Linked DNA regions of Pelodiscus sinensis. The protein of the gene in region 1 purifies or fractionates together with the protein of each later gene. This does not show direct contact. Links are inferred from orthologs where the notes say so. Each region holds a gene or a part of one and is shown on either strand. Other genes may lie near its edges.

Region 1 (3,742 bases):
TGCATCACACACTTTCTCAGGGACTCTTTAAGTACTACCTCTGCCATACGCAGTTACCCATTACAGAAACACAAAGTCAGCCTTGCTTCTCTTTTGAGAGCCTCTTTACCACCACAAAACTAAAGATTACCTTTGATGTAAATACGAAAAATGCCATCCTTCACATATGGCAGAGCCATCTTGAATTCTTCTTCACCGGAAAAGGCAATCATGTCGCCATCTTCATCTGAAGAAGACAGATTAATAAATTGGATATAAGTGACAATCAGGAAGAGATGAAAGTAAGTCTTTATGAAAACAAAGTGAAATATGTAGTTTGTCTTAAGTATTTTGCAAATAATAGAGACTAACAATCAAGCAACACCTTACTGCTTTGATATTAGAACTGTTGGGGAGAGGGGTAGCTCAGTGGTTTGAGCATTGGCTTGCTAAAACCCAGGGTTGTAAATTCAATCCTTGAGGGAGCCATTTAGGGATCTGGGGCAAATCTGTCAGGGATGGTACCTGCCATGAGGGCAGAGGACTGGACTGGATGTCCCTTCCAGTTTTGAGAGAGAAATAAAAGGGTTGATTAACTATCCTCATTTCAAAATGGCACTTAGTTTTACTCTCCTCTTTTGCTTAGAGTTCTATAACAACAAATAACTTAGATGGGAAAGAAATCTAACCTACTTGAGAGTTGTATGCAGTGTTGTTTTAGTCCTATCAACCCCAGATTATCAGCATAAAAACTCTCTCCCACCTTGCCCCTCTACTTAAGTAGTTTCTTCCCTACCAAACTATCTTCTGCTTACAAACCACCACATTTGCAGAGAGGTATAGTTTTAAAGACACAAGCCACTTCAGCAATAGTTACAGAATGGAGTGTATGTTTAAATAATTTTACTATGTCTGCAGTACTATGGAGAAGCTATGCTGCAGAGCTATATGTGTTCTTGTTAAAAACTGGCAGTAGTGAGAACAGAGAAAAATCTGACAAGGAAGCAATTTTCCAATAAACTAGAGTTAAATATCACCCGCAGAAAAACAGTCACGTTGGAGTGTATGATCTTTAAGAACTAAATATTTGGCATTGAAATATCTTGGTCTTTGAACAGAATAGAGTTACTGCATGAATGATAATTTAAAGGGGAGAAATGTGAAAGTCTCCTCAATGAGCTAGTCTAGAAACTAATAATACGAATAAAGTATGAGATGATACTGTATAACACTGAACTTCAATTTATGTTAATGAAGGGGTTGGCAGGAAGTAGCAAGAACTTTTCTTTCTGTAATTTGAGCTAAAATTTGAGCTAAAATGAGGCTCACTGTATGTGCTTTCTTTCCAAGGCTGGTCTTCACCCCCAGTGCTGCAGCAGTGCAGCTATGCCATTGTAGCATTTGGTGAAAACACTACTATATTCCCATGGGGTAGTGAATACACCTCCGTGGGAAATGATTGCTATGGCAACAGTCCACAATGTGTTGTGTACAGGGAAGGGATGGAGTGTTAATACTGCCATTAAGCCGACCTCTGGGATGGAAAATCCAGGGGCCTGAGCGAAGCAGTTATACCCACATGTGTGTGTAGTGCTGTAGACCAAGCCGTAGGCATTTACAGAGGTACAGAAAAGAGAAGCCCTGGAGGCAAAAGGGCAGCCTAGCGCATTGTTCCCAGAGCTAGTCTGCTGTCCTCTCTGCATCTTGGGGTCCTTAGACCATTTCAGGACTTCAATATACAGGGCTATGTAGCCCTTTAGAGACTAACAAGATGGCTTATTAGATGACGAGCTTTCGTGGGCCAGACCCACTTCCTCAGACCAATATGTGAGCGAGAGGGGAGAGGCCTATTCCAGGAGAGGGTGGGTGCGATTCTGCGGCCTGCATTGGGCAGGGGGTGGGACTAGATGATCATAATGGTCCCTTCGAGTCTAGGAGTCTTGTCCCCCCCCGGAGCAGCCGGGTGTGGGGCAGGCATCAGGCCGCGATTCTGCCCAGCCCGCAGCATGCACCGGGGCGGTCTCCCTACGGGCTCGCACAGCTCAGGGGCGGAAAAGAGCCGCGGATCGAGCCTGGCCACAGCCGGGCCCGCGGCGCTCACCCTTGTAGTGCAGCAGGAAGGCGCCGTCGCGCAGCGGCGCGGGGAAGATCTCGCCGACCTTGTCGCGCACGTCCTGGTAGCGGGCGGGCGGCGGGAGCGCGAAGCGGCGGATCTCGCGGACCACCCCCTCCTTGCCCAGCAGAAAGGCCTTCACCGTCAGCGCGGCCATGGCGGGCGGGCGGGCTGTGGCGCAGCAGCAATGGGCGGCGGCGGGCGGCTGGGGCTGGGCAGAGCGCGGCGCGGGCCTGAGCTCCCTCCGCCCGGCCGCTCCCCTTATACCGCGGGAGGCCGGGCCTGCGCCGGGAAAGTCCCCGCCCCTGGGCGCCCCGCTAGGGGGAAGGCAGGGCGGGGCGCGGCTCAGGCACCTTCTCAGCGCCCGGGCGCGGGGGGGCTAGATTCGGGGCGGGGTCTGGAGGCTGAGGAGGCGGGGGGGCGGGGCGGTTTAGAATGGGGGGAGCCGGTTTAGAGTAGGGGAGCGGGGGGGGGGCGGTTTAGAGTAGGGGAGCGGGGGGGGGCGGTTTAGAGTAGGGGAGCGGGGGGGGCGGTTTAGAATGGGGGGAGCCGGTTTAGAGTAGGGGAGCGGGGGGGGCGGTGTAGAATGGGGGGAGCCAGTTTAGAGGAGGGAGGCGGGGGGGGGCGGTTTAGAATGGGGGGAGCCGGTTTAGAGTAGGGGAGCGGGGGGGGCGGTTTAGAGTAGGGGAGCGGGGGGGCGGTTTAGAGTAGGGGAGTGGGGGGGGCGGTTTAGAATGGGGGGAGCCGGTTTAGAGTAGGGGAGCGGGGGGGGGGGCGGTTTAGAGTAGGGGAGCGGGGGGGGCGGTTTAGAGTAGGGGAGTGGGGGGGGCGGTTTAGAATGGGGGGAGCCGGTTTAGAGTAGGGGAGCGGGGGGGGGGGCGGTTTAGAATGGGGGGAGCCAGTTTAGAGGAGGGAGGCGGGGGGGGCGGTTTAGAATGGGGGGAGCCGGTTTAGAGTAGGGGAGCGGGGGGGGGCGGTTTAGAATGGGGGGAGCCGGTTTAGAGTAGGGGAGTGGGGGGGGGCGGTTTAGAATGGGGGGAGCCGGTTTAGAGTAGGGGAGCGGGGGGGGCGGTTTAGAATGGGGGGAGCCGGTTTAGAGTAGGGGAGCGGGGGGGGCGGTTTAGAATGGGGGGAGCCAGTTTAGAGGAGGGAGGCGGGGGGGGGCGGTTTAGAATGGGGGGAGCCGGTTTAGAGTAGGGGAGCGGGGGGGGCGGTTTAGAGTAGGGGAGCGGGGGGGCGGTTTAGAGTAGGGGAGTGGGGGGGGCGGTTTAGAATGGGGGGAGCCGGTTTAGAGTAGGGGAGCGGGGGGGGGGCGGTTTAGAGTAGGGGAGCGGGGGGGGCGGTTTAGAGTAGGGGAGTGGGGGGGGCGGTTTAGAATGGGGGGAGCCGGTTTAGAGTAGGGGAGCGGGGGGGGGGGCGGTTTAGAATGGGGGGAGCCAGTTTAGAGGAGGGAGGCGGGGGGGGCGGTTTAGAATGGGGGGAGCCGGTTTAGAGTAGGGGAGCGGGGGGGGCGGTTTAGAATGGGGGGAGCCGGTTTAGAGTAGGGGAGTGGGGGGGGGCGGTTTAGAATGGGGGGAGCCGGTTTAGAGTAGGGGAGCGGGGGGGGCGGTTTAGAGTAGGGGAGTGGGGGGGCGGTTTAGAGTAGGGGAG
Region 2 (3,742 bases), on another chromosome or scaffold:
TGTCACATCAAACCCAGGAAACAAATACGAGTGGCGGCCTATCTCCGACCTCCCAGCCACTAGAGCCTCACATTTTAGCAGTTACACGACTATTCGACAGTGTGGGGGCGGGGCTAGCAGCCAGTGCCCCCAGCCCCATTCCTGGGGAGCTCCCTGTATCAGAGGCAGCAGTGGTCAGTTTCATGGTGAGTTTCAGCACTGGTCAGTTTGATGGTCACTGTCAGCACTGGTCAGTTTCAGCACTGGTCAGCACTGGTCAGTTTCAGCACTGGTCACCCCTGGTCAGTTTCAGCACTGGTCAGTTTCAGCACTAGTCAGCACCGGTCAGTTTGATGGTCAAGTTTTAGTACTAGTCAGTTTCAGCACTGGTCAGTTTCAGCACTAGTCAGCACTGATCAGTTTGATGGTCAGTTTTAGCACTAGTCAGTTTCAGCACTGGTCAGCCTGGTCAGTTTCAGCACTGGTCACCCCTGGTCAGCACTGGTCAGTTTGATGGTCAGTTTCAGCACTGGTCAGTTTCAGCACTGGTCACCCCTGGTCAGCACTGGTCAGCACTGGTCAGTTTCAGCACTGGTCAGTGTCAGCACTGGTCAGCCTGGTCAGTTTCAGTACTTGTCAACACTAATCAGCACTGGTCAGTTTCAGCACTGGTCAGTTTCAGCACTGGTCAGTTTGATGGTCAGTTTCAGCACTAGTCAGTTTCAGCACTGGTCAGTTTGATGGTCAGTTTCAGCACTGGTCAGTTTCAGTGTTCATGGCTTGCCCTCTGCCTCTGAGCCAGGCTGCAGGCTCAGGAAGACGGTGCTGCCTCCGGACATCTTTGGAAAGTCCGAAGGGCCAGAAACTCCCCAGAGAAGGCGGGGGAGGGGAGGGGGGAGGGAGGGGAACTGAGGCAGACACAGATCCCTCCTGCCCCCTCTGTGCCTCCCAGGGAGGTCAGCAGAGATGCCACATCCACCGTCTGAGCCTCGCAAGACCTTTGCCCAGCTTGGAAGTCTCTAGTAAGCCATTAACCAGGGAGAGAAAGGTAAACAACCCTTCCTCCTGCCACATGCCGCCTGAACATGTCACCCCCCCCCCCCCGTTGGGCTTTGGCCCCCTCCATCGCTCTTCCACACGCCCACCCCACTTATCCAGGGCAACCGAGAGAGCCCACAGGGTGCGGGGGGGGGGGGAGATGGTGTGAGTCATGATGGGGGGAGGTGACCAAAGATCACAGCCGTGGAGGGGAGAGACCACAGAATGGGGGGGGGACCAAAAGTCATGGGATGGAGGGGAGAGTCCATCGGTTGGGGGGGGGAACCAAAGGTCATAGGGATGGAGGGGAGAGACCATCGGTTGGGGGGGGAACCAAAGGTCACAGTGATGGAAGGGAGAGACCACAGAATGGGGGGAACCAAAGGTCATAGGGATGGAGGGGAGAGACCACAGAATGGGGGGAACCAAAGGTCACAGCGGTGGAGGGGAGAGACCACAGAATGGGGGGAACCAAAGGTCACAGGATGGAAGGGAGAGACCACAGAATGGGGGGAACCAAAGGTCACAGGATGGAAGGGAGAGACCACAGAATGGGGGGAACCAAAGGTCACAGCGGTGGAGGGGAGAGACCACAGAATGGGGGGAACCAAAGGTCACAGGATGGAAGGGAGAGACCACAGAATGGGGGGAACCAAAGGTCACAGCGGTGGAGGGGAGAGACCACAGGGTGCGGGGCGGGGATGGGGAGGGACAGGGACCACAGGGGGCAGAGTGAGGGGAGAAGGGCCCAGTGGTGCTGATGAGGGGAGAGGGGTGGCAGGCGGGAGCCGTGGGGAGGGTGAGGACAGGGAGCTGCAGGGGGCCCTACGGGGCGCCCCAGGCGATGGCGGTACGTGGGGCGGGTGGACGCTCCGTGGGGCAGAGGCCAAACCTAAGGGGAGCCCAGGGGCTAGGCAGGTGAGGTGATGGGCCCCAGGGAATAGGAGTACAAGGGACTAGAAGATGGAGACGCTGGGGGGCAGGAGACTGGGGCTGTGAGGTAGGGGGCGCTGGGGCTGGCCACGTTGGAAGACAGGGGGCTGGGGCTCTCGGTACACGGGTGCCAGGGATGGACATACTTGGGGGGCAGGGGACATGGGTATGGGGATGCCAGGGATGGACAAGTTGGGGGTACGGGGGCGCCGGGGAGGGCCACGTGCGGGGATGGGACGGGGATGTACACTGGGGACGGGATACTGGGGGACAAGGGACCGGGCTGCGGGGGCGCCGGGGAGGACCCGCGGGGGGCGCACGGCACCGTGGCCGGGGGGGGAAGGGGGTGCTAGCCCCGGGGCCGCGGGTCTCACCGGGCTCCGCTCCGGGCCACGCAGGGTCCCCGCAGCAGGCGCCGCAGCGCCGGGTTCCCGCACACCCGCGTCGCCATCTTCGCGCTGCGGAGCCGCAGCCGGGCGCTGCGCGGGGCGGGCCGGGGGGGCGGGTCCGGGCGGGGACTCCCCTCCCCCCGCGCCCCTTTGCTCCCCCTGCCCGAAGAAGGGGCGCGCGAGGGCGCGATCCCTGCGCGGGGGGCGCAATTCCGTGCGCACCGCGTGCCCAAAGCGCACACGCCTGGGGCCGCAGCTAAGCTTGGACGAGGCAGGGAAGCGTAAAATCTCCCCCTATTTCAGACCCGGGCTGCCCCAGCCTCCGAGCCCAGAGCCCCCGTCCCTCTGCAAGGAGGAACATCCCTTATAGGAGCAGCAGGGTGGGTCTCTTTGGGGGCCCATCTGTGCGCCCTCACGCCTGCCTGGACGCTCCTTGGGGTAGAGACCCAGTTCCATTCTTGGTCCTGTTGGTCTGCAGTCCTGAACTGGGACCTCTTGGTTAATCGCCTTGGCCATGGAGCAGGGCAGCTGAATTTTCGGTTGTGTCATTTCTAGTCTCCCCCCTCCCCGCGAAAACACAATCTATGTGCGGGGAGCACGGAGGAGTTGACCCTACCCATCTCCGGTCACTACATGTGTATACAATATTTGATCTGTATTTATAGTGTGGCTTTTAAAAAAATGGTGTAAGCCACCTCGAATATTTTAAATAATAGCGGCGGGGCAAAAATATTAAAAAGAAATCAGCGTAAATGAAACGAGCACAGAGATGGAAAGGGACGGGAATTCACCCGGCGCTGAAAAGCGTATCCTGGTTCTGCACTCAAATGCCCAGGAAGGTGTGGGGAGAAAAACGCTCTTGGTTAAACATCCAATGAAGACCTCCCCATTGAAAAAAGGCCTCAAATATCTTAAATAAGAAAGGCTGGGCAAAAATATTGAAAAGCTATTGCCATAAATGAAATGGGCGCAGAGATGGAAAGGGACGGGAATTCACCCTGTGCCGAAAAGCGTATCCTGGTTTTGCACTCAAATGCCCAGGAAGCAGCAGGGAGAAAAACACTCTTGGTTAAACATCTACGAATGACCTCCCCATTGAAAAAAGGCCTCGAATATTTTAAATGAGAGAGGCAGGGCAAAAATATTTCAAAGAAATCAGCATAAATTAAATGAGCGCAGAGATGGAAAGGGACGGGAATTCACACGGTGCTGAAAAGCGTATCCTGGTTTTGCACTCAAATGCCCAGGAAGCAGCGGGGAGAAAAGCGCTCTTGGTTAAACATCCAGCAATACTCCCCCCACCCATTGAAAAAAGGCCTTGAATATTTTAAATGAAAGAGGCAGGGAAAAAATATGTAAAGAAATCACCATAAATTAAATGGGCACAGAGATGGAAAGGGAGG
Region 3 (3,742 bases), on another chromosome or scaffold:
CTTCAGCCCCCTGCCCCTCACAGCCCTGCCCCTCCTACAGCCAGGCCCCGCCTCCTTCAGCCCCCTACCCCTCACAGCCCCGCCCCTTCTGCAGCCAGGCCCCGCCTCCTTCAGCCCCCTACCCCTCACAGCCCCGCCCCTTCTGCAGCCAGGCCCCGCCTCCTTCAGCCCCCTACCCCTCACAGCCCCGCCCCTTCTGCAGCCAGGCCCCGCCTCCTTCGGCCCCCTGCCCCTCACAGCCCCGCCCCTCCTGCAGCCAGGCCCCGCCTCCTTCAGCCCCCTACCCCTCACAGCCCCGCCCCTCCTGCAGCCAGGCCCCGCCTCCTTCAGCCCCCTGCCCCTCACAGCCCCGCCCCTCCTGCAGCCAGGCCCCGCCTCCTTCAGCCCCCTGCCCCTCACAGCCCCGCCCCTCCTGCAGCCAGGCCCCGCCTCCTTCGGCCCCCTACCCCTCACAGCCCTGCCCCTTCTGCAGCCAGGCCCCGCCTCCTTCAGCCCCCCCCACAGCCCTGCCCCTCCTGCAGCCAGGCCCCGCCTCCTTCAGCCCCCTGCCCCTCACAGCCCTGCCCCTCCTGCAGCCAGGCCCCGCCTCCTTCAGCCCCCTGCCCCTCACAGCCCTGCCCCTCCTACAGCCAGGCCCCGCCTCCTTCAACCCCCTACCCCTCACAGCCCCGCCCCTCCTGCAGCCAGGCCCCGCCTCCTTCAGCCCCCTGCCCCTCACAGCCCTGCCCCTCCTGCAGCCAGGCCCCGCCTCCTTCAGCCCCCTGCCCCTCACAGCCCTGCCCCTCCTGCAGCCAGGCCCCGCCTCCTTCAGCCCCCTACCCCTCACAGCCCCGCCCCTCCTGCAGCCAGGCCCCGCCTCCTTCAGCCCCCTGCCCCTCACAGCCCCGCCCCTCCTGCAGCCAGGCCCCGCCTCCTTCAGCCCCCTGCCCCTCACAGCCCCGCCCCTCCTGCAGCCAGGCCCCGCCTCCTTCAACCCCCTACCCCTCACAGCCCCGCCCCTCCTGCAGCCAGGCCCCGCCTCCTTCAGCCCCCTGCCCCTCACAGCCCCGCCCCTCCTGCAGCCAGGCCCCGCCTCCTTCAGCCCCCTGCCCCTCACAGCCCCGCCCCTCCTGCAGCCAGGCCCCGCCTCCTTCGGCCCCCTACCCCTCACAGCCCTGCCCCTTCTGCAGCCAGGCCCCGCCTCCTTCAGCCCCCCCCACAGCCCTGCCCCTCCTGCAGCCAGGCCCCGCCTCCTTCAGCCCCCTGCCCCTCACAGCCCTGCCCCTCCTGCAGCCAGGCCCCGCCTCCTTCAGCCCCCTGCCCCTCACAGCCCCGCCCCTCCTGCAGCCAGGCCCCGCCTCCTTCAGCCCCCTGCCCCCCACAGCCCTGCCCCTCCTACAGCCAGGCCCCGCCTCCTTCAACCCCCTACCCCTCACAGCCCCGCCCCTCCTGCAGCCAGGCCCCGCCTCCTTCAGCCCCCTGCCCCTCACAGCCCCGCCCCTCCTGCAGCCAGGCCCCGCCTCCTTCAGCCCCCTGCCCCTCACAGCCCCGCCCCTTCTGCAGCCAGGCCCCGCCTCCTTCAACCCCCTGCCCCTCACAGCCCTGCCCCTCCTGCAGCCAGGCCCCGCCTCCTTCAGCCCCCTGCCCCTCACAGCCCCGCCCCTTCTGCAGCCAGGCCCCGCCTCCTTCAACCCCCTGCCCCTCACAGCCCTGCCCCTCCTGCAGCCAGGCCCCGCCTCCTTCAGCCCCCTGCCCCTCACAGCCCCGCCCCTCCTGCAGCCAGGCCCCGCCTCCTTCAGCCCCCTGCCCCTCACAGCCCCGCCCCTCCTGCAGCCAGGCCCCGCCTCCTTCAACCCCCTACCCCTCACAGCCCCGCCCCTCCTGCAGCCAGGCCCCGCCTCCTTCAGCCCCCTGCCCCTCACAGCCCCGCCCCTCCTGCAGCCAGGCCCCGCCTCCTTCAGCCCCCTGCCCCTCACAGCCCTGCCCCTCCTGCAGCCAGGCCCCGCCTCCTTCAGCCCCCCCCCCACGTAGTCCCCCGTCCCCGGCAGCGCCTCCCCCTCCAGCCACCTGCAGCGATCCCCTCCCCCACGCGGGGCGGGGCGGGGCCACGCGCCAGGGACCCGCAGGGCTCGCGCCGCGGCCGTTACCGTCGCTACGCGGTGGCGGCCCCGCTCGCTGCCCTGGGCGGTGCCTGCCTCAGGAAAGCCCCCGCCGGCCCTGCCGTAGCTGCCCTCGCCGGTGCCTGAAGGCAGCCCGCCCCGCGCCGCGCCTGGGCTGGGCGAGCCAATCAGGCAGCGCCGCGGGCAGCCCTGGGGGGTGCGAAGGCCCCGCGCCTCAAGGACCCGCCCCGCCGCCGCTTCGACCTCCCCGAGCAAGATGGCGGCCGCGGTGCGCGCGATCGGGAGCCTCACGCGCTTCACGGCCGCCGCCAAGTACTGCGCGGCCCGCCGCCTCGGTGAGGGGCTGGGCCGGGGGGGGGGGCGCGCTGCCGAGCCCCGCCCCGCCCCGGCTCGCCGTGCTGCGCTCCCCGCCGAGTGCCTGTCTGGGGCCGCCGGCCGGGCGGGGCTGGCAGCAGGAGCCCGGGGAGCTCAGCGCGGGGCCTGGCCACACGCAGCAGCCCGGCCCGCCAGCAGTCGGGTCACAGGGGTTCTGGCTCTGCCGCGGCCCTGGCTCCCGGCTCCCGGACCCCGGCCCCCCCGGCCCCCCCGGCTCCCGGCCCCCCCGGCTCCCCCGGCTCCCGGCCCCCCCGGCTCCCGGCCACCCTGGCCCCCCCGGCCCCCAGCATCCCCGGCCGCCCCGGCCCCCCCGGCTCCCGGCCCCCCCGGCCACCCCGGCCCCCCCGGCCCCCGGCCACCCTGGCTCCCGGCCGCCCCGGCCACCCTGGCCCCCAGCCACCCTGGCTCCCGGCACACGCCTGCTGCGGCAACAAGCTCTCCCCAGGCGGCTATCCCACCTCCCCCAAACCCCTGGCCTGGGGCTCTCAGGTTGTGCTGCTGCTCCCTGTTCATTTCCCGGGGCGGGTGATGAATGTTAGTGACTAGCGGAGATCATTTGCAGTTAATGGATTTGATGCGGGAAGGTGGCTGTGGCAGTGTGCTCGTAGAGCTCTCCCAGTGCTCTAGATGAACAGCCTCTATGCTTGGGGCATAGTTCCCAGTGCTGGGAGCCTGTTTACACCCACACTTCACAGCGCTGTAACTTGCTGTGCTCGGGAGATGCTTTGTCACACCCCTGAACAAGAAAGTTACAGCTCAGTGACCTGACAGCCTGGTAGCACAGCAGTATAGACAAGCCGTTAGTCTGACTGCTTTCAGTCAAGTCACAGGAATGATTTGACATCTGATCAGAGTTTGTTGGTTTGTGGAATTAAGTGGGCTCTTAATTCAGTGACCCAGTCCTTCTCCTGCAGTTGTCATTCGTCTGGTCCTTTCTTTTTCTGCTCAGCAGAGGTGCCCCAGGCACTGAGCTCCCCATATTCCTGCGGTGAGGGTTTCCTTCTGCGAATGCACAGCTAGAGAGCTGGGTTCTCCTCTGAATTTACACTTGTAACTGTCAGAATGATACACGATTGTACACACCATGGTAAGAACATAAGAATGGCTGTACTGGGTCAGACCAAAGGTCCATCTAGCCCACTAGCCTGGTGTCTGTAGTTCCTTGTTTTCAGGATTCGCACTAGGGATATAATAGTGCAGTTGATTAACTGATTATCTGATAAGCAAAAGCTTATAAGTTAATGCCATAGACTACACGCATTTCCTTC

What was found.
Region 2: the proteins of SQSTM1 (region 1) and NIPSNAP1 purify together in Homo sapiens (affinity purification with mass spectrometry; 4 studies listed by BioGRID and IntAct, with this or other methods). This does not show direct contact. The link is inferred for Pelodiscus sinensis from reciprocal best matches to the Homo sapiens genes SQSTM1 and NIPSNAP1.
Region 3: the proteins of SQSTM1 (region 1) and HADHB purify together in Homo sapiens (affinity purification with mass spectrometry; 3 studies listed by BioGRID and IntAct, with this or other methods). This does not show direct contact. The link is inferred for Pelodiscus sinensis from reciprocal best matches to the Homo sapiens genes SQSTM1 and HADHB.

The regions. Positions count from the first base shown.
Region 1 is NC_134727.1:34,417,813-34,421,554, reverse strand, and holds the start of SQSTM1 (sequestosome-1), read right to left. Parts: upstream 2,364-3,742; 5' UTR 2,250-2,363; coding exon 2,081-2,249; intron 227-2,080; coding exon 131-226; intron 1-130. UniProt on the Homo sapiens protein: Molecular adapter required for selective macroautophagy (aggrephagy) by acting as a bridge between polyubiquitinated proteins and autophagosomes.
Region 2 is NW_027465935.1:547,402-551,143, forward strand, and holds the start of NIPSNAP1 (protein NipSnap homolog 1), read right to left. Parts: upstream 2,461-3,742; 5' UTR 2,402-2,460; coding exon 2,325-2,401; intron 1-2,324.
Region 3 is NW_027465862.1:361,253-364,994, forward strand, and holds the start of HADHB (trifunctional enzyme subunit beta, mitochondrial), read right to left. Parts: upstream 2,254-3,742; 5' UTR 2,127-2,253; exon of another isoform or gene 2,047-2,126; intron 1-2,046. Other genes in the region: HADHA (trifunctional enzyme subunit alpha, mitochondrial), read left to right, coding at 2,356-2,434. UniProt on the Homo sapiens protein: Mitochondrial trifunctional enzyme catalyzes the last three of the four reactions of the mitochondrial beta-oxidation pathway.